Drosophila melanogaster: one gene and its partners. The gene in region 4 interacts genetically with the main gene of each other region. Each region holds a gene or a part of one and is shown on either strand. Other genes may lie near its edges.

Region 1 (7,166 bases), 5.4 Mb from region 4:
AGCTTCGCATAAGCTCGGTTGAAGTATCTAATCGATAGGATTCATAGCTTTTCGATGGCTTTCTGATCGGACGAAAGAGGCGGCTTTTACTTTCCTCTAGACACAGTGAAAACTCAACGAAACCAGCAAACCAACAAACCGAACTGACGGAGACACAATACAATGACGACAGTTTGCATGGACAACAGACGCAACCAGGACAGCCAACACAACCCAACCAACCATACATATCATATCATATCAGCAGCCGTGGGCAAACAGAACGCACCAAAAAAAAAAAAAAAAAAAAAAAAAAAACAACTCAAAATGGTTTGGGTAGAGGACACCGACCAGATGATACCCCTTACCCTTTAGTTACTACATGTCCACAAATCCATTAAGCAATATATCCAATACGAAAACGAGTGAAAACTTTTGGAAACTGAGTTCCTAAAATAGAAATCACTGTATCCAATAATTTGTATTTGATTCGCCAAGATCTTTGCCCAAAAACCTTCTCTATATACAATGGCATGTTGCCCCAAGAGCCGCATACCACATTTCCGCATGGATCACTGGGTATGAAGGAAACATTTTGTTTGCAGCAGCGCATGGCAACCGAGAAGTGGCACCAACTTGCTGAAATCTTGAGGCGTCCAACGCAGAAGGAGGCGAACTAGATGAGGGACAGTAGGCGGACGAATTGGAATACGACTACGAATGCGACTACGAATGCGAAGGCCTTGTTTATGAATACGCGGGCATTGTCTGAATGCGAGATGTGAGGCATGGCACAACCAGGAAGAGGTGGATATGGATGTGGATGTGGATGCGAAGGAGAATTGGCTGGCCAAAAAGATACACAGCAAATATAGATACTTCTGCGGTCACAAACACACGTACAGATAAAGATACAGATACAGATACATTTTCAGAAACAGAAAACGATGCAGATATGGATCCAACACGGCCGTGTGTGTCTGTCTGTGTTTGGAAACTAAACAAGAAAATATTGACATATAGATTAAGACTTATTAAGGGAGCTCGAGCTTGGTAGTCGACATCAGATCGCTGGGAATGCCGACGCGAAAAATGAAAAGAAGCGAACAACTCTGATGGAGAAATGTGGCATGTTGCATGTAGCATGTGTAGTATGTAGTATGTAGTATGTGGCATGTCGCGTGGGGTGACATGTTGCCCGATCTGCCGTCTGCCACAAAAACACGTGCACTCACTCGCAAATACTCATATATATGTACAAAGATATGTATAAAGATATAGGAGCCCAGATACAGATACTGTGCCACTTGAATTGAGGCAGGTTCAGCCCGCCGCACACTCATGGCCAATATTTGCCAGCAAATATGGTCGAAATCTATATTTAGACACTTACGAACCGCGAATCAACTGATCGATTCCCATCCAACGATCTCGATCTCCCTTCCCAATAATAAAAACAGAGAGAAGACAGAAAACCGGAGCGTATCGCTGTTAACTGGCTTTCTATTGGAACAGTTGGGCGCAGCGGTTAGCTGTTGATAGCCGAAAGCAAAACAAAGTCGAAACAAAAACAAGAGTGCGACTTTCAGACCTCGAGACTCTTGGCCAACTATTTTGGCTGCCGCTGCGCCCACATGGTAGCTCAACTGGTGCTAAAAAGTGATCGCCAAAAAATGATCGCACCGCCAATGCAGCGCATTAGTCAAAGCTGACTTTTTTGGCAATTTTTTTTTTTTTTGGTATTTTGTTATTTAATCTCTGTTTTTTTTTTCTTGCCATCGAATAATTTTAACTCGACATTGCGGCATTTCGTGTGTGGGTGAGAAAAGTTTGGTGGGGAATTTAGCTGAGATCATTCAGTAGGGCTAAGGACTTATAAGCATAGTCAATAATCATCGGAAATTATAGCGATTTTATTTGAGTGTGATCATCTATCAGTCAATGAATTGGTATTCACAGAGATCACTTGATAATCATGAGTTGTATCCATTAAGTGGACAAATTAGTTAGTTCAGTGAGTGATATGATATGATAAATTAATTCTAAGAACTACTAAAAAGATATTAACTGGAAAGAGCCCGAAGAAAGGAAATGGTATCCCAAAAATATCTGGGCACATACGTTTGTATGTATATGATGGGATCGCAACGATTCCTACGTGTATTTAAATGACCATCGCGATAAGCCAAAAAAGCCAAAATATACGAGTGGGATTAGTGGGCATATACAGATGCGATGTTCCCATGCTGAGCGACGAGGATCATTAGCGAAGTAAACCACTGACGATCGCTATCATAATACTGGCATGGCAAACATACGTACGTACAGAGATACCTGGCTGACTGACTGACCAGCGAAAGCAACCCATTGATAAGACCGCTACAGTGGACTATCTAAACCTAATAGCTGTGACAACCGCAAATTGCATGAGGAATACCATATCGACCGGAGGGGTAGTACCGCAGGGTAGGGGAATGTACAGGTAGTGGGACACAGGTAATGACAATAAACATTCTCCACTTATCAGCAATCCGCTGATGCACGCACACAGAGCGAAAATTAGGGCACGTTTCACGCACACCACGGTTTTGGATATTATGTTAGATAATATAGATTATAATTGTTATACCATTTTGCTCTATTTATATATTTTTATATCTTAAGAATGCCTAATTAGTCAATAGTAATAGTAGACCTTGTTTGCTCTGTGCACTTGTGGTTAAGGAAATATTGAGATGATGTTGCGGTTTTGGTTTAGACTTGGAGCTCAGACTTAAGTTTTGGGTTTTTGCCTTTTGATTTTTCGTTTTTTTTTTTTGGCATGCGATAAGACTCGAGACAAAGCCAATTTCCCGCCGATTTCATTGGAAAGATATGGAGTATAGGGGGTTATACATATGTGCTAGCAACAGCTGATTAGCCATTTGAGCAATTTGCAGCACAATCCGTACACATTATCAAAATTTGAGCCGTTTATCATCAGGTGCGTGAAAGCAAGAGGGCGGTGCCCGATGAGGTGAGGAAATGACAACGGCGACAGGAATGCGAATGCGAATATACGAATGCGAATGCGATTGTATGTATGAATGGTATGTAGATGTACGATGGGTATATATGGTAGGTGCTATAAGGTGGCCTGCGAATACCTGGCCGATTAGCAATCCACTGTCAAAATGCATTGAAAGCGAAAGACGACACTAAAGGAAACAGGGACCAAGGGTGCAATGTACCGAGTGTGTAAACCGAAGAGAACCAGGCACAATGTAAAGAAATCCAACGCACTTTTGGCGAGAAAGACAAAAGAGCTTTTCACTCAGAAAAAAAAAAGAATAGTTGTACAGCAGTAATTATTACTATTTATTTAAAGTTAGGTTTTAATCTTTTTCCAAAGATATTGTACAAAGATTTAGTATGATAACCCAAACTGGGAGCAATTAATGGCCAATCCAAATTCACCATCTCGAGTGTGCACTGTATTTTCTTCGAGTGAAAGAAGGGCAAGCGATCAAGAGAGATAGAGTGAGAAGAGAGAGCGGGTGGAAGAGCGAAAAAAGGAGTCCGCGTGGTCGGTGAACTTGAACTTGTGAAAGGATGGGGGAACTACCGGTAAGTGGCTTTATGGATGGGCTACGATCATCACTTTCAATTAAATTACCAGGGGAACGCCAATGCCGCCAAAAGTCGCAACCCGGGAGCCTAGGAACTGGGAATCTCTAGTTCTGAAGATCTCAAGATCTCTGGAACCTGCTCCAATTTTTGTGCGCACTCGCACTCACTCGCCGACAAACTTCACTTCACTTTTCGCACTTAACTCGGCTGCTGTTGTTGTTGTTGTTACAAAACAATTAAATATAAATAACAACGTTGTAGCGCAAATAAAAAAAATTAAACAAAAAAAAATAAATAAAGACCGGGGGAAAAATATAAAAAAAAAGATGTGTATTTAATTGAGCGCGACACGCAGTGATCTTGTGCGACACAATATTATTTTACTTGAGTTGCAGCACAATTTCAATTCTCGCGATCGCCTTACGACTACGGGACTACGGCTTTACGGATTCCGAAGATTACGGGTTCAATTTCTTCTCCACAATTCTCCTTCAGCGAACGAACGAACGAACAACCGACCGACCGACCGACCGTTTGTGGCCGAGTGCGAACTCGAACTAAACTGAACTGAACTGAAGCCGCCGACAAAACGAAGATCGTCGCCGGCAGCAACAACTCGCTGCGATAATAGCAGCAGCAACAACAACAGCAACAACACAAGCAAAATTACGAGATGCGAAACGATGGCGCACAGTGGTCACACTCCTACTGAAAACTCTCCATTCAGTTGATGGATAATGTTAAAAGTTCTTTGCGCCACAAGATATGTATATGAATCTAAACTATTTATCAATAATAAAAGTATATTAAGAGGTATTTTTAACTTAACAGCACAATGGTCGAAGAGTTAAGGAAAGTTGTATCATATGTTTACAGAACATGTTAACAGCACTTTACTCCACAAGATATATGAAACCATGGAGTAATAGCTTAATAGTTAAACTATATTAAAAAAGAACTTAAACTTAACTCTATTGTGGTCACATGTCAGTCATAAGATCTTACATTTTTCAATATATTAATTACAACCATTTACCCAACCATACTAATTTATGAAAGTATAATATCAAAACTATAATATAATGTATTAAGCAAACTTTACGCTTACTCATAGATCATTGTTGTCACTGTGGTTAACATAGGTTGTAAGGAAGATAGCAAAGTTTTTAACTTTGTTAAAGAAATATTTAATATTAAAGTTTATTCTTCTGCTACTAAGTCAACTTACTGTATTAAAAGTTTCCTAAACTATTCTTTCCGTAAATTAACAATGTTTTAAAATGGAAATTACTATGAATGCAATGGATTGTTATATTGGTGTTTTACGGTTACAAAATTTTCTTTAAAAAAGCGCGGAGTTGGCAAAAAATAAATATTGCTCACCAAAGTGAATTATTAAACGGCAGGTGCTGATTTACTTTCGATTTTGGAAAAGGTGCTTGTAATTATCAAAAATTTATGCTGTCCCAATTTAATTAAACGTGTAATGCAAAATAAGCTTATATTGTTTAAAACAAGTTATAGCTGAAAGCCAAAGCTATGGCACATGGAAATCTAAAATGGTTGTTTTGCAATATATCAGTAATATTTTTTCACATGGTACTGCTGACCAAATCAATATTTCTTGCTGTAAAATGAGACTTTTAATTGTCGGAAAATTATGACACCCATAAATTTTAATTAGCAATCTGTTCTTTTTGTCTTTCGTTGTTTGGTTTTAGCTGGAAATTGAATGCACAGACTTTGGTTCACAATCTTAACAGATTCTCTTGAAAATTATCTTTTATCAGTTTTACTATCGTATATGAATAAGTATTTATATTAAAAGATATATTATTGTGCTTAACCCGGTTATATCTTGTTAAGAGGGCGACGTGTTTGTTTCGCTTGATTTGCAGCTTTGTTTGCTATGTGATCGCATTTTTTGCTCGCACTTATTAATTTTTTTTTTTTACAATTCACCTTGTATTGCCAGCCACAAACAATTTGAAAACGCGAAAACTGTCGATGACCGATAAGCAATTGTCGATTACCGATTAGCGTTTTGACTTCTGGAATTGGAAAGAAGCTTCTGATTTCTGATTTTTCACCTTTTTTTTAGCCCTTCCATTTCGAAATTCAGGTTTTCTTGACAGACCCCCATACCCGCCCCATTTGTCGTGTTGTTCTTCTTGTTGTTGTAAAGTGCCATTGTGTCGTGTCGTCGATCTCATTCGCAAATTATCTTTGTTTGCGAAATTGTAATTGTTTTTGCCGTGCACAATTCAGCAAGAAACCGAAGAAAAGGGCTGGTCTCGAAGTCACATTACCCTCTGATAGTTATTATTCCTTCACCTGCGATCTTGACCATCTCAAAAATTAAAAAAAAAAAAAAATGGTAAATAAATATATGAAAATTCATAACTAGATAAATTATAACTTTATAATAAATTATAACAGGTCGGAAAAATAGAATTAAAACGCTGATTATCATAGATGCCCTCAAAATATCGATGCTTACCATAGATGTCCTCAAAAAAACCAAAGATCGATGATTTTTTTTCAGTGCAAGTGGAGTGCTCAACAGCGGCAGCTTCACTATTGTTGTACTCGATAATGGCTTTTCTGTTCACTTTTTTACTCGTCCCCAAAAGCGGGGCGTGTTCGTTGCTTTGTGCTTTTGTTTTGTTGGTGGAGCTGCTTAGCTATTATTTTTGTTTTATTATTTTGTAATACCTTGACATAGGGTATTTAAATATTATGCAGAACTTCAAATGACCTGTCCGAACGGTGCATACACTATTTCTGTTTTTAATAACTTTTCAACACCTTTCCGGTGGTAACAGAGATTTTCAGTGTTTCCAAGCTAAGTTTAAAACATACATTTTCTTGGGTAAAGAACCTACATATCTCGAAAATCTATGGACCCACAACTACACTACCTGTAAACTTTTTTCTGGACCGTGTCCCAGTAGCAACACATTGAAGTATGCTCTGAGTCTGAGTTTCAGATTGCGATTCCTATTCCGATTCTGGGTTTTGTGTGGGTTGGCGACTGTCATTAAATAGTTTGCTTTTCGCTTTTTACTATAACTACTTCTCTGCTCTATTGTTTTTATGTTCTCTTTTATGCATTTGTTTTGCCTAACAATAAACGATGGGTGAACAACAAATGAAACACATGAAAGCGAAAATAGCAACTAAAACAGCAGTTCAATTAACTCTTTTTGTGAGAAATAAGTGCAATCAGATTTGGATTATAGACCAAAGTGTAGGGCATAACTTGATAGCTAACTCTTGATTTGTATTAAATAAGTTACTTTTTGAGTTCTGTGACAGAAAGTCGCCTACTATGCTATGAATCTTTTGAGTTCGCCTAACAATAGCTTTCAAATGGTAAGTGCTATTTTCCTATTCACTCTCGACGGAGAATGAATGACCGACCGACCGACCGCACAATCGTCCGATTAAGTGGCTCATTAGGCGCCGAGGAGGTCATGTGAGCCATTTAGGCAAATTGCATAAGCGATCCGATCCACTCAAGTGCTGTCCCAGCACAATTACACGACGTACAATGGGCGTTCGTAGACGAAGATATT
Region 2 (7,250 bases), on a different chromosome or scaffold from region 4:
GGATTGATGAACCGCAAGAAGATGACTGTGCCTACAGCACCGATATTGTTTTGAAGAAGATTCGGGAAGCGTTTGCTTAGCACTTGGTACAGGCAATGGCACATGGATCGCAGCTGCGGGGGAAAGCGATCCGACGAGTTGATAATAGCGTCAAACACCTTCTGCGTTAGGGCAATCAAGTTGTTCCTGTGCTGTTCAATATCTTCTGTTGGATCCAGACGAGCTGGATCCACCTCAAAACAGGTCTCCTCCTCCTCATCCAGAAGCGGACGAATTAAAGGCTCTAGTAGCATTTGGAGATAGCTCGCGCCGTATATTTTAAAGCAAAAGGCCATGATTTTGCTGCCCAAAGAATTTCCACGGAAAAGTGTCTGCATGCAGTCTGAGACCTCCACCTCGCGATAAAACATATTCCATAGGAGTGGCGATAACAGGTGTTTGGCGTCGAATAGGGTGACCAGAACCCTAGCCAGCTCGTCCATTTGGGATGTAGTCACCACATTAGCCAAAGCCATTGCTATGGGAAGTTCTCCTTTGTCGCTGATCATTGTAACAAGTTGGACCAGTTGCTCAAATCGATCAGCTAAAACAGTTTCGGCCAAGGTATCGAATTCGGTGCCTTGTTGCAGGATTTGAGTCAACACCTCCATGAAAGCGGCACGCGTTTGCAAATCAGGATTATAACCCAGATCGATGGAGTGCATCAAACCAGAGTCAATGTTGGCACCCAACAAATTAGACATGGCTAGAATAGTGGCATTTCGCAGAGCGGTCAGTTTTCCAGCTGCCATTCGAGGGCGCGGAGGCAATAGTGGGGTATTATTCATTTCCTTCTCCGCCTCGGAGCTATCGATGCAATCATTCAGCAGGTTCATAAATAGGGTAAAGTACTTTAAAAAGAGCGCACTCTTTGCATCCATCAAATCGCCTCGATCCGATTCCTCAGGCTGAAGGGGAAGGCCCCGAAGCAAGGCAGCCACTGCCTCCATGCAGGCTTGGTCTAGATCGCGAAATATGAGGGATGTGTTGGTAAGAATAGCGGCATCCGCCGAGCTGGGCGGTGCAATCTGATGGGAGGTGCCCATCACCCAGTCGGTCAAGTATTCAACCAGTTTATTCCGGAACTTCATCTCCTGGCGAAAGGCGAGGTCGTCGCGTCGCTTCATCATTACTTCCACAAGCTGGCACAATTTTGTCTTGATTCGAATGGCATAAACAGTCATATCCAGGTGGCGAACGTAGCGCACTATTCCTAGCATCATGCCTTCGATGCTTGTAACACCTAAATGTTCCGATGGCGAGGGTTGATCGTTGTTGGGATCCTTGTTGGCTTTGGGATCCAGAATTGATTTCATTATGTAGATGGTGTGCTCGATAAACTGCGTGTTGATGTCGGTCACATTGACGTTCACCTGACCTTGCTGATCGAAGAACTTCTCCACGATGGCTCTAACCTGGTCGAAGAGTATAGGATACAGTTGGGTGGACATCTCCTCGCCCACCAGTTCCTTCACATTTTTCTGAATATTAAGTCCAATTTTTTCGTTGCTGCAAACTAACAGGCGCAATAGTTGGCCCACGAATCTAAATTAAAGTTATAGGTTATATATGGGACATGTTAAAATAAATAAAACCTTACTGTGTTACAGGACAATAGCTGACATCTTGTGGCGGTGCTGGGGGAAGAGTGGATAGTGAAACCGTGCTAGGATGCAGAGAGCCATGTCCAGAACTTGTGGAGCTTGAGTAAAGAGAGTTTTGAGCAAGTGATCCCAAAGAAGCATTGTTCTGTGATTGCTGCAGCAGCATTTGACGACTGCTGCTACGTTTATGAAGGCAGACGCCACCCAAGGCTAATAGAAACCATGTCATATTGGCCCATTCATTAATTTGTTCCTCCAAATCGTGCTCTGAGCTTTGGTGACTCGCTCGCCGCTTGCCCATGCCACGATGGAAAACCTCCGCTTGGCCATCTTCTCCTTTACATTTGGGGTACGTTTGCAAAACCTTGCTGGATACTTCCCAGTTGCGGAAGGTTTCCTCCCAGGCGGGCTGAACACCATGAACACAGTGCTCGATCTTGCGCAATAGGGTCATTATGCGCTTTTGAAGTGTAAGACGGCTCAGCACATTGCCGTGCGTGTTGTCAAAAAAGCAAATGCGAGAGTCCGTTGCAGCTAAAACGAAATTATTATTAATAAAAATATGTATGATGAATTTACCAAACTCACATGTGGACAACTGAGCCAGCTCCTGGTAAATGTGGTAATTCGGCATAATAAATCCGACTGTCAATTCATCAGAACTGCAGCAAATCTCAGCCTCCTCGCATAGTAGTCCAAAACACGATAGCGATGTCAGCACCGCATCTAAATCAACACTCCACAGGTACATGAAGAAAACAACTTCCATCTTAATGTGAGCCTGCTTGCAAATGGCAATCTGACTTCCCACATGTGCATAATCCTTGTGTCGCTGAAGAAAAGTATTCCGACAGATGAGGATCTCGCGTAGCCACTTTAAGACATCAGTGTAATTGGCAATTTGGTGTTGAATGAGCTTTTGCGAGATTGAAAACAGTACTTGGGAGCTAACGTCCCAGAACGTATTGATCGGAGCCTCTGGATTCCAAACCTCTATTTTCTCCGGGGCGTGCAGAGCAAGCAGCGCCTCCATAGCCTCTTGTGCCACATCGGGCATGGTAGTTTGATGCACCAAACTAACTAAGCCGTTGATGAGCTCCAATGTGGAGCTCTGCACTTCATGTGCCACTTTTCCTTGGGTCTATATTACAAAACAATTGTTAAATATGAGACTATTATCGATCAAATTATCAAATAACTCACATTCAACAAAAGCGTGGGATCTGCATGAATTAGCCGTACGAGTAGCAGTAATAGCATTTTGTGGGCGGGACCCTCTTCAGCGCGGGTTAAACCTTTCTGGGTATCTTTAGATTTGAGCGTCAGGGAGGTTATGTAGCGCAGTGGCGTATGGGCTATATAACCCTGGGTGGCCTTGTTGAGCGTATCCGTAAACAAAGCTCGTAGCTCAGCAGAACGGTAGTGAACCACATCCGTTTGCGGCCACCAAGACAATCTCGGTTGGTTTACTATTCGAAAGGGGTTCTTGTTCTGCAAACGGAAGTCAACGTATATGTGAGCCAACCTATAATGGAAAGTATACATGTAAAAGTCAAGAGTTTTATATAGCTACCCAAGTAAATTACCTTAGCAGAGAGCACACAATTACAAAATGGTAAGCCTGCGGCGAGGACAAATTCAGGCAAACCTTTAGAGCCTCGATGTTGTGAGGATTAATCCGGAAACAAGACACCCAGCAGTCAATCATCAGCTCGATATCAGCGAAGTTGTACCCCTGACCGCGCGAAAAGGGCTTTGCTGGATTAAAGAGCAGTGCCTTGAGATCGTTGATAAAGAATTGCACCAACTTGAAGACCACATTATTGGAGTCGGTGTTGTTGATGTAGGTGGATGCTTTGCACAGCTTTACACAGGCAATTGCCGCAGATTCGGTCACCTGTTTGGATGGTGAGTGCTGGCCCAAGCCTCTCTTGATACTCTCGATGAACTGCTTGGCCGAGAAGTCCTTGTCCCGGGACGTGGATTGCGCTGACTTCGAGGCAACCTTTTCCTTGTCCTTTTCCTTCTCTTTCTCCGACTGCTGAAGTTCGTTAACAACAGCCTCAAGGCAAGAGGGATTCAATATCAGCAAGAGCATTTGAAGCGGCCAAACAAGAGTCTTGCTTTTCTTGTTTTCGGTTTTAAAGTACTCTACAAAGTCCATCAGGGGTTCCCAGCAGCTAAACGAAACAGGATCAATTAATGTGACTTTAAAAACGCTTGTAATTCCTCTTACGTTGATATATCTCGATTGGTTCCTCGTTGCAAGTCCTGGAACTCTTGTGGATGGTACTCGATCCAGTTCCAAATAGCCTTCTCCAGCGAGTAAAGCAAGATCAAAGGTGGAGCACGCTTCGATCGAAACTTTGTGATGGTTTCTGGAAACGTAAAACGTTGTTTAACCTTTCCGAAATATTAAAAAAGTTAGTTTACCTTGTAGCAGCTTGGTTAGCTTTATCATATCCATATCGATGTGTTGAATTAATTCTATGTCGTTGTAGTCCGGGTTTTCCTCGGAACAGGATGTCAGCTCTTGAATCCTGGCCGATATGCGATTGAACACCGCCGAGAAGTGATTCTGGGACAAGGCAAAGAGCACCTTGGATGCCAGGGCCTTGAGCTGGGCGGCATTCGGATTGCTGTCGCTCTGGACGTCGACAAACTGGGAGATCTCGCGCAGCAGAAGCTTCACATTCATGGCCTCTTCAAAACGTGCTGTGTCCTTGGTCTGGTTGGTCAGACAGCGTTCCAGAGTGGTCAGTATGATGACCAGCGACTCAAAGTAGCAACGCTCTGGCTCATGGCGATTTTGAAGGGCCTGCAATGAAATTTTTGTTTAAGTAATTTAATCGTATCCTAGCCCCATAAAATAAGGCAACATAGTTTAAGGGTTAACAATAGAGAATGGAGTACTTACCGCCTCATTGACCCTCTGCAGCATCTTGGTGAGACCGGATATGACAAGGGAGAAGCGGTAGCGCGATATGTGGATCAGACAGGCCACCAATTGGTCCTGGCTCATCCTGGCCTGCGTGCCATAGGCACCGATTCTGTTTGGCAGCTGAAAAAGTAAACCATTGATTGCTCAATTCCACTTCATTCATGCGGGAACCGGTGTTTTTGTTATTGTTGCTATCTCGCTCTCCCACGCATTTGATTGAGAGCTCACACTGACAGAGCGGGTGAGGCACGCACACTCGCAAGGTCGCTGTGAGCATGTGTGGGGGAGGAAGAGGCAGAGCAGCAGGTACATTTTTTCGCTTGCGAAAACGCAACTGCGGAAAAGCGATTGGAAAACACTTGCCTGATCCTCGAAACGTGCCAAAAGGGCGCTAGCCCACTCGCCTGGCTTCTGGGTCATCTTGTTGTGGTGTTTTAACAGTTGTTTATGCGTTTTTTACTGCATTTCAGCAACTAAATAGGGCAGCTTTTCGTTGAGCTTGGGGAGTGGCAATTGGTTGAGTGGCATCTTTGTTCGTTATCCTTGGTGTTTTTTTCAGTTCCTGAGACGTTCACTTCCTTCTCTTCCAACAATTTGGATGGTTTGGCTTTACAAAACGGGCACTGTTTCTTTTTTTATGGGAATTTTCTAAGGGCTTACAGGCTGTTATTTGGATGTTTATATTGTGTGTGTACCGCCTTCCATTTCTTTCACAATACCGAAACGCTTTTATAAGTGATAACAATTACATCCTATCGATATATCGCTTATTTTCAAATAGTGATGGCATCAGACCAACTAGTACTGAATTCATTAGGGTGACCATAAGCCACAAGTAAATGCGCGCGCTCACAGGAGCGTTTAAAAATTCCAAAAATATTTGGCCTTCATTTCGTTCTATCTCATTTGATGCTATTATTTTATATGGTCTAAGTGTTCCAATTAGAAATATAAATGATTTTTAAAACAGATTCAGTTCAGTAAGTATTATTAGTTTATTTAATGTTGTTGTTAATGCATTACAAATTATCAATATTAAATATTTCAGATGGTTTTGTAGCTTGGGTTTTGAGTTAATTCCGTTTGAGTGTGCCTGTTTGGCTCTGTGCAAATTATACATATTTTCCAGCAATACTTAATGTTTATAATGTTTCAGCATTTCGAGCAGTAATAGGTTCAAATCGAGTTCTATCTGTTGTAATTTAGTGTTGCGTCCAACGTTAGTTAATATTTATTCAATTGTTCTATTATTTTACGGTATAAAGTTAGTTTAGCTAGCTAAAAAACACATGTACAGTCGCATATAGGTATATATATGTATATATTTGGTTTTATTGAAAATGTTTGCGTTATTTTTCAAATAACCCTTCTTAAGCTGACAAAAATTTGAGTTTAGGCATAGGCTTATGTTACAATCGTCTTATTGGCCGTTTTTGGGAAGTGAGTTGGGTACTTTATCCAATCAATTAAAGTAAATAAAAAAGTGCTTTAAAAAGGTGAAAAATTTATATATGTGGAAAATTGTGAGCTTGCGGAAAGAGTTTCTTAAACTGTTTTGTGTATATATTTTTGATTTTACTTTGCATTCGATATATGTACGGTTTTCTCATAGATTTAAATGCAGTTATTGATATTTTTAGAGGGTTCTATTAACTTTGCAGTTTTAAGGAGTGTATACATGCACGTACATAGTTGCTATATTACTTTGTTCTAGCTGCTTAACTGGTATCTTGATTTTCTCTTGTATAAGTGGTATATGTTGGCTGCAATGGACGTTTGATGATTATTCGCTTCGAAATTATAGCATAAAGTGCTTGAAACTTAGTCTGCAGATAGCGCAAGATACAAACAGATGATCGTTGTAAATAGAATATGCTCGTATAACTAGTAAGATTTGTATTTAGCTTGCGTTGTTTCGTTATCGCATTCGATTCGATTGGTTTCGTTCTTACAGCTAAGTTTTCCTTTGAAATTGGATTTCAATGCAGTGCAATCCTGCGTTCGCGTCCTTGAGCAGGCCTGCTAACAATAAATTAGTGCTGGATAGCAGGACGGGCCTTCCCCGCCCCGCACCGCCAGCCGACTAGAGTAATAGACTAAATTTAACAATTCCTTTGGGGGCATCAGATCAGAGACTACAGCTAGGAAATGGGCATTTGTTTTAGATCAGGGATTCAAACGGGTAAACGGGTACGCCTTGAAAAAATCAAAAAAGCTGCTTGGATTTTGAATGTCCTAAAAAGATATTCAAGTGTTTTTGTAGAGCAACTTAAAATGTATTAGATGCGTATAAAAAAATGTAATTCAAAGTAATTTAACGTATATCCTTTAAATATTTGGTATACATGCTTCGGTCCCAGTAATAGCAAATAAACTTAAGTTTCGTTTCGAATCCCCGTTTGAGAGTTGGGTGCTTAGATGGTCCACACCTGAACCTTCTCGGCCACCACACACCAGCTGGCCCGCTCGTAGTAGGAGCTAACGATGTGCAGGCTGGCCACATGGTGGTTGATCAGTGCGTCCAGCTCGCCCTCGCGGAACACATGGTAGTAGCGGTGGTGTGTGCTGGCTCCGCCCTGGGAGGGGCTGTCCAGGGAGTTGGTGGAGCTGTTCGAGTGCTCCAGGGAATCGTTGGAGGGACGCTGCTGGAGATTCGGTGCCTGGTT
Region 3 (7,183 bases), on a different chromosome or scaffold from region 4:
AGAGACTGACTGTCCGATGGAACTGAGCAGAGGAGCACGACTTAGATCAGTTAAGCTCCAAAGAAGCGCCACAATAAAAACAGAAAAATTGAAGTTGCAGCGTGAAGTTCAAAGCCTTGAGAGGCGGTAGACTCGATCCGGACGACAACTGACCCACCCGGTGTTCCACAGATGCCTCTGACCCCTGATGAAGTCAACAACATCAAAGTAAATGCGAGGAGGTCAAGCGTTAAGTCATAAAAAAAGCCCCCCCCCCCCTAAAAAGGGAAAAATGGGGAAATGCGAGTATGTATAACATTATAACATGCTGCTGCCTCATTGTGGAAAGCCACAGATAAATGTTAATCATCACAGGCAGAGTCATCAACGTCATCGTTGTCATTGCGATTGTGATTCCCTTTTGCCCACTGATACACAGAAAAAAAAGAGATTTACTGCTTGATTTAAAGATCTCTATGCATTCAATATTAACTAGGAATAAAGTGTACTTGTACTAATGATCTTCCACTATTTAGAAGAATCTGCTCTTCACTTAGAATATAGATCATACATAATTTCCAAAACGATCTCATTTTTTTTGCTGTGCCTTATAACCTCAAGAACGCCGACTTCGACCTGAATAAAAAGTATTTTAGAATGCGCTAATTACATAAAAACGCTGGTTCCTTGAAAGCGGCAAACAAAGTTGTCGGGACAAACAAACCTCGGCGAATGAGCCACCGGCCTTTGGGCTAATTAACATTGTTCCCCCGGCCATATTTTCAAATGAAAATATTCCACTTTAATTGTGGCTCAAGCTAAACCATATATATATATGTATATATACAAACTTGTATTAGAAAAATGATTTAAAGACACGACCCGAGAACTAATTGTCAACATCGCCTTGGCGTCCACCGAGTACGAACCATCTAGAAATGTTCCATGCGATCTTTGGCTCGTTCAATTGCAACCAGTTTTGGCCCGGTTGAAGAGAGGCGAGGAAAACGAGATGGAAAACTGGCAACCAACTGGAGAACAAGACAGCAAAGCACAGCACAGCACACCACAAGTACAAACACAACCGGCTTTTAATTAATTACCTTTTTTGGCCAAACTATTTATTGTTGTTACAGAACTCTAAACAGCACAGAACTGAACTGAATTGAACTGAACAAAGTCGAGTCCATGTTAACTAGATATCTCTGTTCTGGGTCTTCAAGTTCAACGAAATCTGTATTGCGTGTGGTCCGCGGCGAATAGTGAGTAATAATTCCTCAGTTAAAATGTCATTGATATTCAAAGGGAGATCGATAGTGAGTCACACCCTCGTTATCATTCTAAATGAAATTTAGGTTATGCGCTAAACATTTTAATTAAGTGGAAAAGTATTACGCCAATTTTGGACGGACGTTTCGTGTAGAAATCGCAACGAGCAACAAAATGGAAATGGAAAGCCCCCACAACAATAGCAACAAAAGCGAAACTCCGTGTGTAATTGAAACTGAGCACGATGTGGAAGTATTATTATTAAGCATGCAAAGCATAATGAAGTGGAAATATGATACTTGGGAGAAGAATGCAGGGTGTACATACATATACATACATAGATATGTATAGCGCTTATAACGATATATAAATACGTACATATATCACGTTATAAAGCGGATGGGAAAGAAGCTGACTGTTGATGGGCAATAGAGGTGACACAGCAGCTAATGTGCTATAATGATGCGATAATCAATGATGATTATGGGAAATGAATAACTTTCATTCTTCAATCATTAGAAAACGTGATCGTGAGCCGTTTGAAATCGCATTTCTATATCTTTAGTAGAGTTTTTAAGAGGGAAAACTATAAATAAATAATAGTGAGTTCCCAATAATACTTCTATAAAACTAGAGAATATGGTTAAATTTCCTGCTCGATAGGTATTCCCGATCCATAACACAGCATTTTTTAACATTTTAGAGGCATTTTTGAATGGCAATTCCTTTAGATATGGTGTTGTGTAATAACTACTCAGGATTTTTAATGAGATCAGATATGTATCTTGGGAAGCTGTGGTCGATCCTTAACGGAATTTTTGCAGGTAAAGAGGGTAAACATGAACCACAAAGGCGAACGAATGAAATGGAGGTAAAAAGGTGACAGCTAATTTGCCATAACAACCCGATAATCGAAGGAAGTGCATAACTTTCGTTCTTCAATCAGCGCAGAAACGTGTTTTAATTCATTTTTAACCAATATTGTGCCATCTTCTTCGCAGAACCCAAAAGGGTTAAAGCAGCTGGAGAAAGAAGGGAATGTGGCAAAAGGAAGTGTCGAGAGGAGAGGAGGGTGCGAAGAGAAGATCCCGACAAAGACAGAGGCGCATGCGAAAACAATTGAAGCGTGCAAAAAGCAGTTGAAGAGGGGAAGACACGGAAAAAAAGAAGAGCAACTGAAAAAAGCAAGAGTTTTATGGCCGGAGAAAAAGAACACAAAACCGCAACACACGAAGGGAAACTCTGGGCGCTGGGAAACGGAAATCAAAAGCGGCAAGGCAACAATGTTGTTGCAGCTTTGCATATAATTTATGTTGAAAAAGCATAGCAAAAGCTGCTTATGAGTTGCGAGATTGAAAATGTGAGAAGCAGAAGAGGTAAAAATAAATGCGTGTGCAGGTGTGAAAATGAGATCACGGGAACTTTTGAACCCCCCCCCCCCCTCCCCGCACAGTACACACAGCCAGTGGTTATTCATAATTCTGTTTTACTTTTTATGTTTCAACAGGAAATGTAAAACCACCAAAAAACAACCGCAAGTTTATTTTTCGTCTATCTCTTGCAGTCTGCTTCGCTCTCGCTTCAGAATGAAGTGGATGGCAGAATGGAGAGGAAAAGTGAGAGAGCGTCATTCATTCATTTGACCTCTTGCCAATATATAGTAGGCCATTAATCGATGCTCTTTTCGCTTGTTGCTTTTGATAATCATTCATAAAACAGACACCTTCGTATTGAGAAAAGTACACCGAATTCGAAAATTCCATTCATAAAAAAACCCACACATTGTTGCTGGGATCTCTCTGCCGCTTGTGTGTGTGCGTTTGTCGCGTGTGTGTGAGCATGCGCTGGAGCGTCTCACAGACACATGCTTGATTTCCGATTCATTCACAAAAAGGGGCGCATTCAAAACTGCGGGGGGTGTGCTGGGCGATGAAGGAGGAAGAGCGGTTCTGGGGGTGGGTCAAGAAGCGAATGCCGTAACATTCAGCCTGGTCATCCATTACTTCTCAAACGGCAGCAACAACAAATGTATTGCACTGCTGCTGCACGAAAAAAAAACACACACACACAGGGAAAAAGGCAACAGAAACACACACGCACAGAGCAACACGCGAGTCAGAGCGGGACAGCATGCTTATACACTTGAACGCAATATGCATTTCTAGAACAAAAACACATTTGTTTTCTCAATTAATCGACTTTCTTTGCCTCAACTCGCACAAATTTCGGTTTGCCATTAGATTACACAACATTTTGGAAAACTTTTAGACATATTCTCCCGATTCTATGTTGTTTTCTGCTTGGAAGAGGCTCCGCGGGGCAAACGGCGACGCTGTCAAAATTCCAGCACACTTTGGAACATAAAAAACGCACGTTGCTGCGCGTATTTCACTCAACGTTCATGCCACGCATGTTCTTCGACATATTTTTGATGTTTTTGAACGATTTCGCACTCGATTTACATACCAATTTTCACTTTTAATTGCTCTTCAATGCGCACTTCGCGTGTATCGGCCATTTTGTTGTTGTTGCTGCTTGGCTCGACGGCGACGGGCGAGTTAATATTATTGTCGTCTCGCTCGTCGAACATATAGCGCTTCTTCTTCAGCAGCATTGTGCGCTTAAAGCAGCCAGCTTTTTGTCAGCTACCCACTGGGGAACTTGCAACACGCGATTGGAAATTTATCTAACTCCTTCACTCGATCTTCACGAAACTTTAATAACTCGAAATTATTTGTTTTTCTTTAACAGGTTTATTAGCCGGCTATTTGCATTTGAATTTCATCACTCGCTGCAGCGTTGCATTGTGCATTGAGCTGGTGTGACGGGAATATGAGTCGATTTGCCGCTCACGAAATGCACTTTCCCTGTTGCTTCAGGGCTCGACTGATTTTAGTATTTCGTTTTAACTACAAACTGTTTTTTGCACGCACTAGCAGACGTGGGATTATATTATCGAAGTATGGAAAGTAATTCGGTTGCTTGAATCAGAATCGCAAAAACTTGGTTCTCCGAGTTTATTTGCTTTGCGGGTTTACACGCATCCGCGAACAACCTTTCGAAGCGGAATCAGAACTAGAGTGACCGTAGCGAGACGGTTGTATGACTCCAACGAATTAGTGTGACCTTAGCACGGTGCCCCGAAAATACCACGGGAAACGCAAATGATTAATGTTTGCTTAATAATTTGTTTGAAGCAGATATGTTTTAAAATAATTTTTTTATTTTATTCAACAACGGCTTATGCTTATTAAGTTAAGCACAACAGTAAGGTTTTCATTAAAAATGTTTAAGTTTAATTTCGATATTTCACCAGTTCTGGCTATCGAATATATATCGTTAGCTCCAACAAACAGTTATATATTTTGTAATTTATTTAAAATTGATTATTATTAAACACTGAATTTTTGGTTTTTTTTATTTTAACTTGAGGTTTAATTGATGTTTTTATTAATTCCGATTGGTTTTTAGTTGCTTAACTTTGAAACACACTCCGAATTACGAACGTGTTGCAGGTCGGCCGAAATGGAACTGAATTAAAATTTCCAAGCGGCAAGTGTACACATGCACCTCCCAAAAATTTTGTGAATGAAAACGCACACACGCAGCAGCGGTCACCTACACTTAAACACACACACATGTTGCACCGGCGCCACCAACAGCGGAAACAACCGAAGATCGCCGGCAGAGAAAGTCGAGGCATATGCGACTTAAGAAGGGCGGTACAAAGCAATAAAAAACCCTGTTTTGTTTATGATCGATCGTTAAGGAATTATATCAGAAAGCAATGTTTATTTTTAAATTCAACCAGTTTAAGATTCATATCTATTCCAATAACCATGTATCAATAGCTAGTTATGCTTAGCAAAGTAAGTAAAAATCAAATGCCCGGCTGTTTATACCGTAGCGCACATTACGTGGGCGTTCTGGATCGCAGACAGTCCACAGGAACCCGAGGAACTACATAGTACACACATATGTACATTAAAAGTACACAAATATTCAGAAACAAGGCAGTGAAATGTGAAATTCACACGGCATCCGGACAGCAACGCCGCTTATGTTTTTCTTTACGCATATGTTGCTTCTGCTCCTTGCCTTGGAAACCACATGCATCACAACAACAACAAGAACAACAACTGGCAGGGAGAGATCAACAAGTGAGGCGGTGCATCTTATCACAACTGCCGCCAATAAGTGGAAGTGGTCGGGTCAACATTTCGGATGGTTGCTCGGCTGGGTTTCATTGTTTTCGTATGCCCTGCATTTGATCTAGTCACTTCAACTGCACTGAGCAAAATAATTGTATATAAAATAAATTATAATTGTAAATACTATAACACAGTTATAGTTTATAGTAATTGTAATAATTTAAAGAGACTTATCGAAAATTAACATTTCCCTTTAGTATATGCTTTTAAAGTGTATCATAATATTTGTTAAGAACGTTCACAATGCTATTTTCTGTGTAGCGTGCGTAACGACCATTTGAATATGTTGATCATTTCGCTCAACGAAACGTAACCGACGTGGGAAGAAGAGGAGACAGGGCTTTTCTTCTTTTTTTCCGTTTCCAGCTGTCCACTCGATTCCTCCTCCTCCTCCATTTGCCCCGCCCACAAAATTCGAAGCTAGGCGCAGATGTTATAAATATAGTATTTTGTGGCATTTCCATTCGTATGAATGGGTCTACGAGTTTCGGTTTCAGGTTTTTGGGCCTGTTTATAAACCCACTCCTCCCATATTTTCTCATATTTATGTCCGGAAAAGTGTTTTGGTCATTTGTCTAGCTTCCGTTATTATTTCGTTATGAATGAAAAACCCATTTGGACCGGGTTTTTTGATCTCCCTAATTTACAACATTTATTTAGTATTAACTCGATCTTGACGTCAATATGGGTTCGTAAACTTCGTTTACTATTTGCGTCGTGAACAAGTTTCTTAAAACGTTTAGTTTTTCTTATCCACCTCATGTTAATGTGAAGTTTACACATAAATACTCATAAAAGACCCCAATGTGGGTTTTCCTAATCGCACTTTGAATACATTTAAACGGCAAGAGGAAAAGGCTGTTAAATAGATTTATAGATGATTTTCAAGCTTCGATTTTTTTTGTTGAATTTATGGATTTTAAAATATATACCAATCAAGGGCAATTAGTATATCAAAACCGTTTGTCATAATGCATTAATAGACTTGGCAACACCAAACTTATGTTAAAATGAAGTTTCAAGTTGTATCTAAGTAGAAACGTTTTCAGTTTGATTTTCTGAAAAGGATTTTCTAGATTATTTGATTGTCAGATCCTCACCACAAACCAGATTCACTCAGAAGTCCTCTCAGTTATTTAGTTACAGATTTCGGCTTGATCTGCGGATTAAGTCAAATGGCCGTTTGGTTTTTCGTTTATTGTTCAGAGAGTGTTTACACGCATATGGTTTTTTTTTTTGTTATAGTATACAATAGACACTTAACGATTTCCAAGTAATGTAGTCATTTAGTTAAATGTAATGTAGCAAATTGTTAGGTGTCCTCTTGAGTTGCGATTGCATCATTATTACATAACTTGATTTCTTTTTGTTTTTGGCGCGCTAAACGTAAAGCTTAAAATGTAATCATGTTTGTTGATTGTTTGCATAAACAATAAGCCTTAAATGAAATACTTAATAAAAAGATCGCATAAAACAATGTGTGTTTTCTTTTGTGTGTGGGTGTGTATGTGTGTGCTTGTGTGTTTGAGAGCGTTGGTCGCATTTGGCAGCTTTGTGGGTTTAGGATCGGGCGCAGGATCTCAATCTCCTCCAGCTGCTTGTCACAATGCCAACTCCAGCTCAACGGCAGCCAAATTAGGAAACGATAAACAAACTGCAACGAAAAGAAAGCAGTTGATTAGTATCACTAGTCTGAAAAAATATTAAAACCAATATTCCGAACC
Region 4 (10,267 bases):
CGCTAACGAGGATAGCGACGGCGAACAGCCAGCTGCAGGTGAGTTCAAAATAAGCATTTAATATTCCTAAACCTAATATTCTCGTTTGCTTTTTATCAGGTACAAATGCCAAGAAGGTTCGCCTGTCCGAAAACGAAATGGCTTTGGGCGCACTGCTGACACGCAGCAAGAAGACACGCCGTGACTTGATCGACGCAGCCTGGAATCGCTACGCTTTCAACGATGAGAACGTTCCCGTTTGGTTCAAGCTCGATGAGGACGAGCATATGACCAAGCCAACACCGGTGCCGAAGGAGCTGACCGCCGAGTACCAGCGCAAGTTGCAGGAGGTGAACGTGCGTCCGATCAAGAAGGTCATGGAGGCCAAGGCGCGCAAGCATCGTCGTGCCACGAAACGCTTGGCCAAGGCTAAGAAGATGGCCGAAAAGATTATGGAGAACAGCGATGCCACCAACCACGAGAAGTCCAAGCAACTGAAGAAGGTGTACAAGAAGGCTCAGGAGAAGAAGAAGGAGGTCACATATGTGGTGGCCAAGAAGCAGACAGCAGCTCGACGCGCACGTCGTCCAGCTGGCGTCAAGGGTCGCTATAAGGTCGTCGATCCGCGCGAGAAGAAGGACAAGCGGTCAATGGATGCAAAGAAGAGGCGCGAAAAGGGTTCGAAGGGTCGCAAGGGGAAGGGGCGTAAATAAATGTAAATCTAAAAAATAAATATGTAATATTTTATAGATACTAAATATATATATAAAACGAATCAGGTAGTTTTTTTTTTCTTTGAATATGATTTTATACACTTAAAATAAGAAATCAGATGCGAAACTGCAAATATAAACGCAAAACTGTTGTTTCCTTTGAAGAATATATGTATTTATATTAAATTCAGCTGACTATTGACTTTTCCATGCCCATTGCAACGCCTTTAAGTGCGAAGAAATTCGAAAAAAAAACATTTTTCAGCTGCAAGAAACCGAAAGGGAGCCATTCAAAAACACAGTGTATGTTTTCAGAGGAAGTCTTTTGCACTCTTTTTGAATTCTTTAATTTATTTCGATTTTATGCGTTATTTCAAAAAAAAATGTATTGACTTTTGGATAAATGCCGTGCATTTGGACGCCAACTGCCATTTGACGTTGGTAATGCACTAATAAATTTTAAACAATATCGAAAGCAAAACCATTTTGAATATCTGAGTTTGCGGCTATACGGAGTAATCCGTGTAAGCTAGTGTATTATAGGTTATTTTTAATTTGTAATAATAATAATAAATAAATGCATACCGGTCTGTTAAATATTATTTCATTTCCATATAAATAATTTTATAAATGAGATGCTGTTTACTATTCCAATACAATTCAACCAGTTATTTTGAGTTCTTATTTTATGTATTCTAATAGTATACACATATAAATATTTTTATAAAAAGGTATGAAGGGACTTGTAGATAAGAAGACATCGCTTTTTTTTATTATCCGCTCTCCTCGCAATTGATTTTAGCTGATCATCTCGCGATACTTCAGCTTGTGTTTGGTCAGCATGTCCGTCACTGTGACCAGCTTCTTAATTGAAAGTATGTTGGATAGCTCGTGCAGTTCTTGCGAATGAGATACGCAGATGTGATGCAAGGTAGCCAGCTCGCGTCCTGCAGGAATTATAAAAGAAATCATTGTATATTTAATAATATAACAGCGCCAAATAGAAAACATGAGCTGACAAATAATTACCAGTGTCTTGTGAATTCAGATTTGTACTTTGTTCGACAAACATTCCAAGCGGTTGGTTCGGATCGTTCACCGAGGACAGTTGATCCAAGAAAACAATCATACGCTCCTTGTTCTTCAAGATAAACGGATTGACAACCTCCATGTATTGTTCCTAAAAATGAAAAAGAAATCGAATTTATTTTGGTAATCACATAACTGAGTCGAATCGATACGCACCTTGCCGCCGAATTCAATCAAGTTGGCCAGATTCTGCAGACACTTGGCGACCATGACCAAAGATCGTGTTGCTGCCATCGGTGGCGTCTCGCTGACCAATCCAAATTGGCGTGGATTGAGCAGCGCTGGGCACAGAAGGCGCAAGAATATAAAGCCAGAGACGACGCGTGTGCGAACGAGCCGCTCTGTCGGCCATTTGGCCATCACAGCCTTCTGAAGACAGCTGCAAATGAAACGCACGTTGCGTGGACAGGCGTCCGGTGAAGTGAATATCGACTGGGTGACCAGATCGAGGATTTGCAATAGAAACTCGGCATTCGTACAGGCATCATCGTTGACGTCCATTTTCGTGGGATTCAATTCAGCCGACTGCTTGCTCTCCAAAATGCGCTGCACGGTTTCGCTGACGGCCGATTGCAGGAAGCCGCTGCATTCGGTGCGCATATATAGATCCATTAGGGTGGTGGCCAAGGATGCGCCACGGAAAAGCGTTGTGGTTTCGTTTTCGCGCGTCACCTCCGCTTGGCACAGCATTCGAATTAGTTCCGTTTCCCGTTTCTCCTGCCTAAAGACTCGCAACAGAGCCGTGGCCAAAGGAACCCGATCATTATGGCACAATTCAGCCAGCGCCTTCACAGCATACAGCTCCGATTCGAGGAGCAATTGCTGCAGAGGACTGTACTCTTCACACGGCATTATCAGATCGTCGAGGTAGCGCATACGCAATCGTAGCGAGCCCCATTCACCCATCGGCGTCATGCCAGTGAGTTGGTACCAGCCCTCGGTTTCCTGGCCATTCTTTAGACTAGACAAGTCAATGGTTAGCTCAGCCACTTCGGAGTCCTTACCGCGTTTGCCGCGCGATATTAATGTTATGGTTAGGGAGACAACATCTGGCGGAACATCGCTGCAAGCAAGCAAGTTACAAACATATATTATTCGATAAGTTATCAAATAGGCGAAGGAATGGTAGACTTACTCTAGCACAAACTCCTCTTCCCAAACGGGTTCGGGTGCAATTTTGACACGAGTTTTGCCCACTTTGACTTGATTGAGGGAAATACTGCAGTATGGATGTGGCACTAGTTTAAATGGTAATCGATGAGCTTCCAGCACATGCAGATTAAGACAACGAAGCTCACGAAGGCGTGATACCTTCTTCTGGGCACGACTCAGCTGGGAATCGCATTGTGCCTTGAGCGAATTAATCCACTCCACGTAGCTTTCCTGACTAGGAGCACACAGATACGTCACTGTGGCCAAGCATGGCAGGGCCCTTTCGACAATTTGGAAGCAATAGGGACGCTCCCACAGCGAATCGTGACATTGATAGAGGTAAGCACAGGACAAATCGATCAGACCCTTCGGTTTGGTCTTCTTCGGATTGTCGTAGAAGCATAGTTGCGTCTCGGAACCATCGTTGATTAAAGCGAAATAGAGTTGCTTCCATTTCGTCGTTTTGTCCGACTTCTTGTTCAAATGGCCGTGATGTTTGATTCCCTTGATCTTTTTGAGACCGATTTGGTCACGACACTCGCGCAATGTTGCGTAGATCTTTTCAGCGGCCTTTTCCACAACATATTGCTGATTGAACTCGGGCTGAATGCCATTGACAACTGGATGGTTCAGTGAGTGGCCCTCCACAATTTGCTCTTTGCGATATCGATTTATAACCGCATCCAAGCATTCGAATGTACGACCGCCCATTAAATAGCGCACGCCTTTCTTTTCAATACGAAAGCGTTGGATTTGATTGTTTATATGAAAGAATAGAGAGTAATCCCCCGGTGAGTTGTCACTTGGGCGAACGAGGAAACTTCCTGGTCCAGCTGTTAGGATGAAAAAATGTGTTTCAATTACATACATATAGCAACAGAGAAAAGTCGAAAATATCGATTGTAGGCGTCACTAGAAGAAGCTCAAAATTCTAAGGATTCATCTCGTGAATCTCGGGAAAGCTTGCTTTCCTTACTTGTAGGTACCTTAAACTAATAATACACACCTTTAACCAACATATCGACGGCTTCGTTTTTGGTGCAGTTGGGATGGAACCAGGGAAACACCGTATTTGGATCGATAGATACATCCAGATCGTCAACAAGTTCTCTGAATATCATTCCCTGCTCGCCCGTACGATGGGCAGTCACCCACAACCAGCCATCGCCCATGTCATTGTGTACAAAAAAGATATCACCTTTCTGGAAACTCAGTTCATCGGTCTCTGGCATTTTTGTGTAAGGCAGGATGGCTACGACGCGTTTCTTATCATTAACTGGCTCCGGCGGAGCAACTGGTATGGCCAAGCGTTCGCGTTTCAGTAGATCACTACATGAGGTATAGTAACCAACCAAGTCGCTTAAGGAAATGAATTGTCGTCCTCCGATATAGAAGTCTCCGCACACAGCTGTAATCCTATGTTAACGATACAACATACATATATAAAAAATCATTCAAAACAATGGCATTTAATGGGTATCTTAACCTATTACTTACCGAAAATGATTTATGCCGGTGCGGCCATAATAACTCAGAACATAGGAGCCAGGTTTGCGGTCACTTTCGCGAACTGCTCAGCATTAAAAAAAGAACACAAAGGTATTTATTTAGTAATACTTTCTCACCTTCGAATACCATCTTATACACACCTAAATAGCTGCCCAGTTTACTGCTTCCGCGTAGGCGAGACTCTGCAGAGTAGCGATCGAGTCGTCCATGGTACCATTCGCTTTCCGGAGGAGCAATAATCGCTGGACGTTCACCTGCGTTTGGAGTTTGCAAGGAAAATTAGTTATCGATCGAACTACAATGTATGGGCATGTAACTTTACTTACCATTCAGCATATGTGGTCCATCGAATTCATCGTGATCCAATTCCTGAGCCAAGTCACCCAAGTCGATGCCGCCAGGTGCCATTATGCCACCCAATCCGGTCATGCCACCCAGCCCCGCAAGATTCCCATCATCCGAACAGCCCGTTGGCGATCCGGGCTTATCTTTCTGGATGACAACATCAATGTTTCCCAAATGTATTAGGTCCGCCATTGTTAGGCTTATGATCTCTGTTCAGCAAATGCGAGTCTTAGTCTATATTTAACTTCGAGTGGAATTCGATTTAATAAAAGCCACATATAGCAATGATAAGAATGCGTTTAACTGAGGAGATACGTTAACTTTTGTGACTGTGTGGGGTTTTCCGTGCTAAACTGTAAGAAGACCAGATAAAAACACTTAGCTGCCTTACTTTGATTACAATACGAAAATCATATTTGATAAAAATCAGAAATCAGATTAGAGAGTCACTAATAGAATCAAATGCTTAACTAAACCAAGATATGTCTAAAACCATTCACTAAAAACGCCCCGAGAGATTTGTTAGTTCTAGTTTCCGCTTTCTAATGCTATTAAATATAGATAATGGAAAATAATTCGGAATTCGGGGCTTACCGTGAAATCATTTTCTTTGCCATATCGGTGGTGGTAATCTCACAAAAACAAATTGGAATAGATTCGCTATAAGTGTCCAAAACAAAATTCGGGTCCAATGTTACGAAAGTTGAGGATCTAACAAATAATTTAACAACGTATGCAAAATTGTGGGGCAAGAATACATCACACCTACACTAAATACGATTAAACCTAAGCCTATTGGTAAAACAAGAAATTTACTAATAGGCGCTATTACAACCGATTACAACCAGCACCAGAAACCGGGTTTATTAATTAGAATATAGAGACAATGCTACTTTATATCCAAAACCATATTTAAAAGCAATTAACGACGTAGACTTCGCAGTAAACTAAATGAAAGATAAGATGGACAGCACATCCATCAGCTGTTTGCGCTTTGTTTACTTTTACAGATAACAAATCAATTGTGATTGTTTCAGTCAGTAATATAGGAGTGTAGTGAACCCACAGCTTAGACAACAAAAAACCATACAACTTTAAGATCTTTAAGTTGTTTCTTCTATAAAGATTTTCATCTTAGAATCTGTATATTGATTCTATACGTTTTCAATGTGTATGGATAAGGAAAATTGTCTATTCCATTTCTTTGATATTTTAAACGGTTTTTCATCGAATTATTAAATAAACATTTACCTCTGGACGAATTAAGCTGTGAGCCACTGTACATATGTACATATTGCTCTTTGAAATCGCCGGGCGACTGACTTTCTTACATATGCGCAGACATTTTTAGGATATTTCGAGTTGTATGAAAGTACAAGTTACTTATGAATTGTAACACCGTATATATACTTTATGTACATTGGTATATATATAGGAATATGCTGCACCCTCTTGTACATCAACATCTATCTAAAACACAAGCGATTTATATGAGCCGCACACCACACACAAACTTTAGGCTAAGCCCTTTTTGCCAAACGAGCCGAACACAAAAAAATTCATTCGGTTCTTTTCTTCATACATACACGACCCGAAGAGTCATCATATCATCATCATCATCAACACCATCTCATCATCATCAACATCGTCATCACCGTCGCCGTCTTTATCATACTCCTCTCAAGCGGGGTAATTACTGCCCATTTGATTCACAATTTCTGGGCTGTGTTCGGTTTGTGATTCCTTTGTAAATGAATCATTAGCACAACCATTTAATTCTCTCTCATATGGGTAACAAAAAATACAAAAAAAAAAAAAATAAAACCATTTACACAGAACATTAATCGGTTAATGCGCATGTGTAAATATTTTCCTCTATATACTTTACATTGCACTGCAGCACCGAGCTAAAAAAACAAATCGCGCTGCTGGGAATTGCCGTCTTTTATTTGCTCAACTTGTGTTATTCATAACAATTGCATATTTAAAACGAACTAAAATTTCTTCCGTACCGATAGCCACAGAATTCAATTGTGCGCAGTGTGAACGTAGTGAATCATCGAAATATACCACACACCCAACTTATCGGACGAATGTATGTGCGTCAAGATAGCGCCAGAGAGTACAGCTCGAATAAGAAATCGATTATAAACGATAAGCCAATTTAAGATATAATATTTTAAAGAAAAAACAAACGCAAATAATATTTATTCAGCATTTGAATGTACATTTCTTAAATGAAAAGCTAATATGTGTTGAAATTACAAAAGATGATTTAAACACTTTGAAAATAACACATGTTTTTTGTGCGCACGAAAACCGTTAGCCGTCAAAATCTGAAATGGGGTAAAATTAAGTTTATATATTTTCATATTTTCAAGCTTATTTAGACAGCAGGCGGCAGCCCGAATCTTTGTCATTCGAATACTATTATATGGACACAATACTCTGAACTGAACAGTTCGACATCAGTGGGATTTAGAAGGCATAATCATGTCCAAGCGCCAACGCGATGTTCACGATGGCGCTGGAAAGAAAATAGCCAAGATTCGGTTTAAGAAGCTCATCCGATCCGTGATACTGAATATGCAGTGGCTAAGTGAGCTGCCCGAGGAGGGTGGAATATCGCTGAATGTGAAGAAGAACGTTGCCATGCTGCGACAGAAGCGCAAAGTGGGCATGATGACCATGGCCGTAAGTCCAACGAACCTCTTCTTTCATATCAAGGCTAGCTCAAGAGTTTATTCCTTTTTGTGTTTGCTTAATTGCAGGAGAAATCGCTGCTGCGCACTCCACATGCTAAGCGTTCCGTCGATGAGAGGAAAAAGCTCTGCACCATTGTGGCAAATCTGGCTTGCTTTTCAAAATTTCCGCCAGTGAGTAGCGCGCTGATCATTTGTACATATGTATAATATTACTTATCCGACCTGTTACCCCTTTTAGAAAGTCCGCGCCCGTCTTGTTCCGATTGTCAAATTCATGGCAATATCTCCCGGGCGTATTGTTATGAAGGAGGAGGATTTTCCCGTAACCATTTATTTTATAATCGCCGGTGAGGTGGAAATGTCTAAGAACATATATAAAAAGGTAAACTATTCAAATTATATATAATACTTTCTAATATGCTTTGCATAGTTATAGCTACAATTTTTCAATTATGCCTTATTAAATATATATGCTTTTTTATTTGAAAAATGGTATATTTCTTAGGGCTCCAGTCGTCCTACCGTACAAACGGAGGCCATTTTTGGACCCGGGGATTGCATTGGTGATATTGACGTGATGGAAGATACACCCAGAACCAACACTTATATCGCCACAAGTAAATCGATTCGTTTGTTTCTTGACACCTAATCGCATTTGATTCTTTCAGCTTATTGCGAACTCCTGGCTATATTCAATACGAACTATAAAATTGTTCTTCTACCGTTTATGCAAAAGATGTGGCAGGAAAAGAAGGATGCTCTGCGGGCCCTTGACTATTTTGACTTTCTCAACGAAGAACAGGTAAGTATAATAGTAGATAAAAAGAAATTATAATATAACTTGTTTGTAAGATTGTAAATGCCAGTAAGTATGGAACAATTCAGCAATTCGAGCCCTTGGAGACGATCTACACCGAAGACTTGGGTACCATGAGCTATGTCTATTTTGTCCTTAGCGGGGAATGCGTGGTGCTACAATGCCTTCACATGAAGGTGTGCTATCTGCTAGAAATCTCGAATTTGACAGAAATATGCATATAGTATCGTTTTATCCATCACAGGTCAATATGGTGAACCGGGAAAAGGTGTTCCAGCTGCCAAACATTTATAATCTCAAAACTGGACCTCTCCTGGATGATGACACAGGTCCAAACGATAACGAGCCGCTCTTTGATATTAACGAGTACGTGCAATCCACCTCATCGCTGGATGAAAACGAACAGAGCAAGAAAAGGAAGGTGAGCTCTAAATTAAGTATCAGTATCATAAAATGAAAAAAATTCGCGACACGTTCACCATATACAATCATTTTTGTATATAACTTTGTATACAAGTTATATATCCCTTTTTCGCATCCAGATACGGAATCTGTGCATCGTTATCAACCAAATCGTTTGGATCTTAACAATTCAATTTCAATTTTAAATATGACTTTTTTGTAACACAGCGTGCTTCTTTTCTTATTTGGCAGCTGCGCAAAATGGGACTTCAGGAGATACAGCGACTCTGCGACGAAATAAAGAAACCAGTATCTAGGAGATCCACCAAGGAATCAGCACGCCAACGGCTGCGATTGCGACAGCGTGGGCGGGACGCGGAACGTCAGATAACGCGAAAGCATTATGAGTTCTACCTAATGGGCATGGGTGGTGAATCAGGCAACATATCTGAGGATCTTAGCGAGGAATTATATAGTGATACTTCTGATATGCCGACAATTTCAACAGTCGCCAGCGCCGAATTCGAGAGCGAATCGGAGGGTTCCGAAATATTCACTGCTTCCAGTACTTCGGAACAGGGAAATGTCGAAGAAACGGTCAGTCAGGAAGGTTTTGAAACGCATTTCATTGACGTCGGCTCGCTGACATTCGGGGGAATTTTTGGATTGGGCGAGAAAATGGAACATCGTGTGATTATGGCAAGGACCACGGTGCAATGCATCGTGATACCACGCTTTTGGCTTTTTGAGCCCGCCCAAAATCCTGGTAACTTCTGGCAGCGTCAGCGTTTCTACATCGAGTGCAATATTCCAACCAGGGAGGATTTGTTCAAGGACTTTATCAAGACACGAAAATGGGAAAGATTCAGACGTGACTATATCAGTAGCATACTTAATAACGAATCATTGGCCAACTTTACAAAGCATGAAGATATACCGATAATAAGTCACATTGTGGAGACAAAATCTGACGACAATTAAGTTCGTCTTCAATTTACTTGCCACTTGAATATATTTATACATTTCCAACTTTAAAGCATTATTAAATCATTAGTATTGTTTTCAAAATTCCTTGAGGGTAGAGAATTGTTCGATTTGAATACACAAATATTTGTGTTTGAAATTTAATAAAAAGGCACTTGGGTATTATAGCTTGGATTTGTTAAAAACTAAAGTGAAATTGATCGATTTTTCGGTTGGGAACATGTTTTTTTTATAAGATTGTATTGAACTACGTATATGTTTGGCCGCGTTAAAACTAGTGAAATCGTCTCACTTCTTAAATTACGAACCATGTATTTTATTGTTAGTAGTTGAGAGTTGTAACAAATTGCATTCAAGCGTCTGTACGGAAATAATGGGGCATACAAATTCAATTTAAAATAATTATTTATCAATGAAGACCTTGCCCATTTTACCTCTCGCAAAAGTGAAAACAGTTTTGGCCGATTTAAAAAAGTAGACTTAAAAATGCAGTTATTAATCGGTTTTTGGATAACTCTCGCATTTGTTATTTATATTTTCGCAGGTGAGTAAACCAAAATTTCCGATTGTAA

The links.
Region 1: of vap (region 4) and spri, changing one suppresses a phenotype caused by changing the other (phenotypic suppression), as found in Drosophila melanogaster (2 studies listed by BioGRID).
Region 2: of vap (region 4) and Nf1, changing one suppresses a phenotype caused by changing the other (phenotypic suppression), as found in Drosophila melanogaster (2 studies listed by BioGRID).
Region 3: of vap (region 4) and RasGAP1, changing one suppresses a phenotype caused by changing the other (phenotypic suppression), as found in Drosophila melanogaster (one study listed by BioGRID).

The regions. Positions count from the first base shown.
Region 1 is NC_004354.4:10,581,276-10,588,441, forward strand, and holds the start of spri (sprint), read right to left. Parts: upstream 4,148-7,166; 5' UTR 3,635-4,147; intron 1-3,634. UniProt on the Drosophila melanogaster protein: Potential Ras effector protein. May function as a guanine nucleotide exchange (GEF), by exchanging bound GDP for free GTP.
Region 2 is NT_033777.3:25,981,046-25,988,295, reverse strand, and holds the start of Nf1 (neurofibromin 1), read right to left. Parts: upstream 5,284-7,250; 5' UTR 5,005-5,283; coding exon 4,948-5,004; intron 4,705-4,947; coding exon 4,561-4,704; intron 4,462-4,560; coding exon 4,077-4,461; intron 4,022-4,076; coding exon 3,880-4,021; intron 3,824-3,879; coding exon 3,230-3,823; intron 3,169-3,229; coding exon 2,847-3,168; intron 2,785-2,846; coding exon 2,232-2,784; intron 2,178-2,231; coding exon 1,640-2,177; intron 1,585-1,639; coding exon 1-1,584. Other genes in the region: fid (fire dancer), read right to left, coding at 6,999-7,250.
Region 3 is NT_037436.4:9,850,951-9,858,133, forward strand, and holds the start of RasGAP1 (Ras GTPase activating protein 1), read right to left. Parts: upstream 4,336-7,183; 5' UTR 3,863-4,335; coding exon 3,715-3,862; intron 1-3,714. UniProt on the Drosophila melanogaster protein: Inhibitory regulator of the Ras-cyclic AMP pathway. May function as a negative regulator of Ras85D/Ras1 in the sev signaling pathway. Acts cell autonomously in cone cell precursors as a negative regulator of R7 photoreceptor cell determination.
Region 4 is NC_004354.4:15,998,947-16,009,213, forward strand, and holds vap (vacuolar peduncle), read right to left. Parts: upstream 6,867-10,267; 5' UTR 6,039-6,866; intron 5,499-6,038; exon of another isoform or gene 5,382-5,498; intron 5,141-5,381; 5' UTR 4,980-5,140; coding exon 4,769-4,979; intron 4,697-4,768; coding exon 4,583-4,696; intron 4,504-4,582; coding exon 4,431-4,503; intron 4,350-4,430; coding exon 3,940-4,349; intron 3,767-3,939; coding exon 2,917-3,766; intron 2,845-2,916; coding exon 1,938-2,844; intron 1,873-1,937; coding exon 1,722-1,872; intron 1,640-1,721; coding exon 1,491-1,639; 3' UTR 1,005-1,490; downstream 1-1,004. Other genes in the region: CG8939 (uncharacterized protein), read left to right, coding at 1-38, 100-692; CG12698 (uncharacterized protein), read left to right, coding at 7,281-7,481, 7,559-7,663, 7,731-7,874, 7,998-8,109, 8,161-8,294, 8,345-8,485, 8,554-8,730, 8,964-9,692; Muc14A (mucin 14A), read left to right, coding at 10,182-10,239.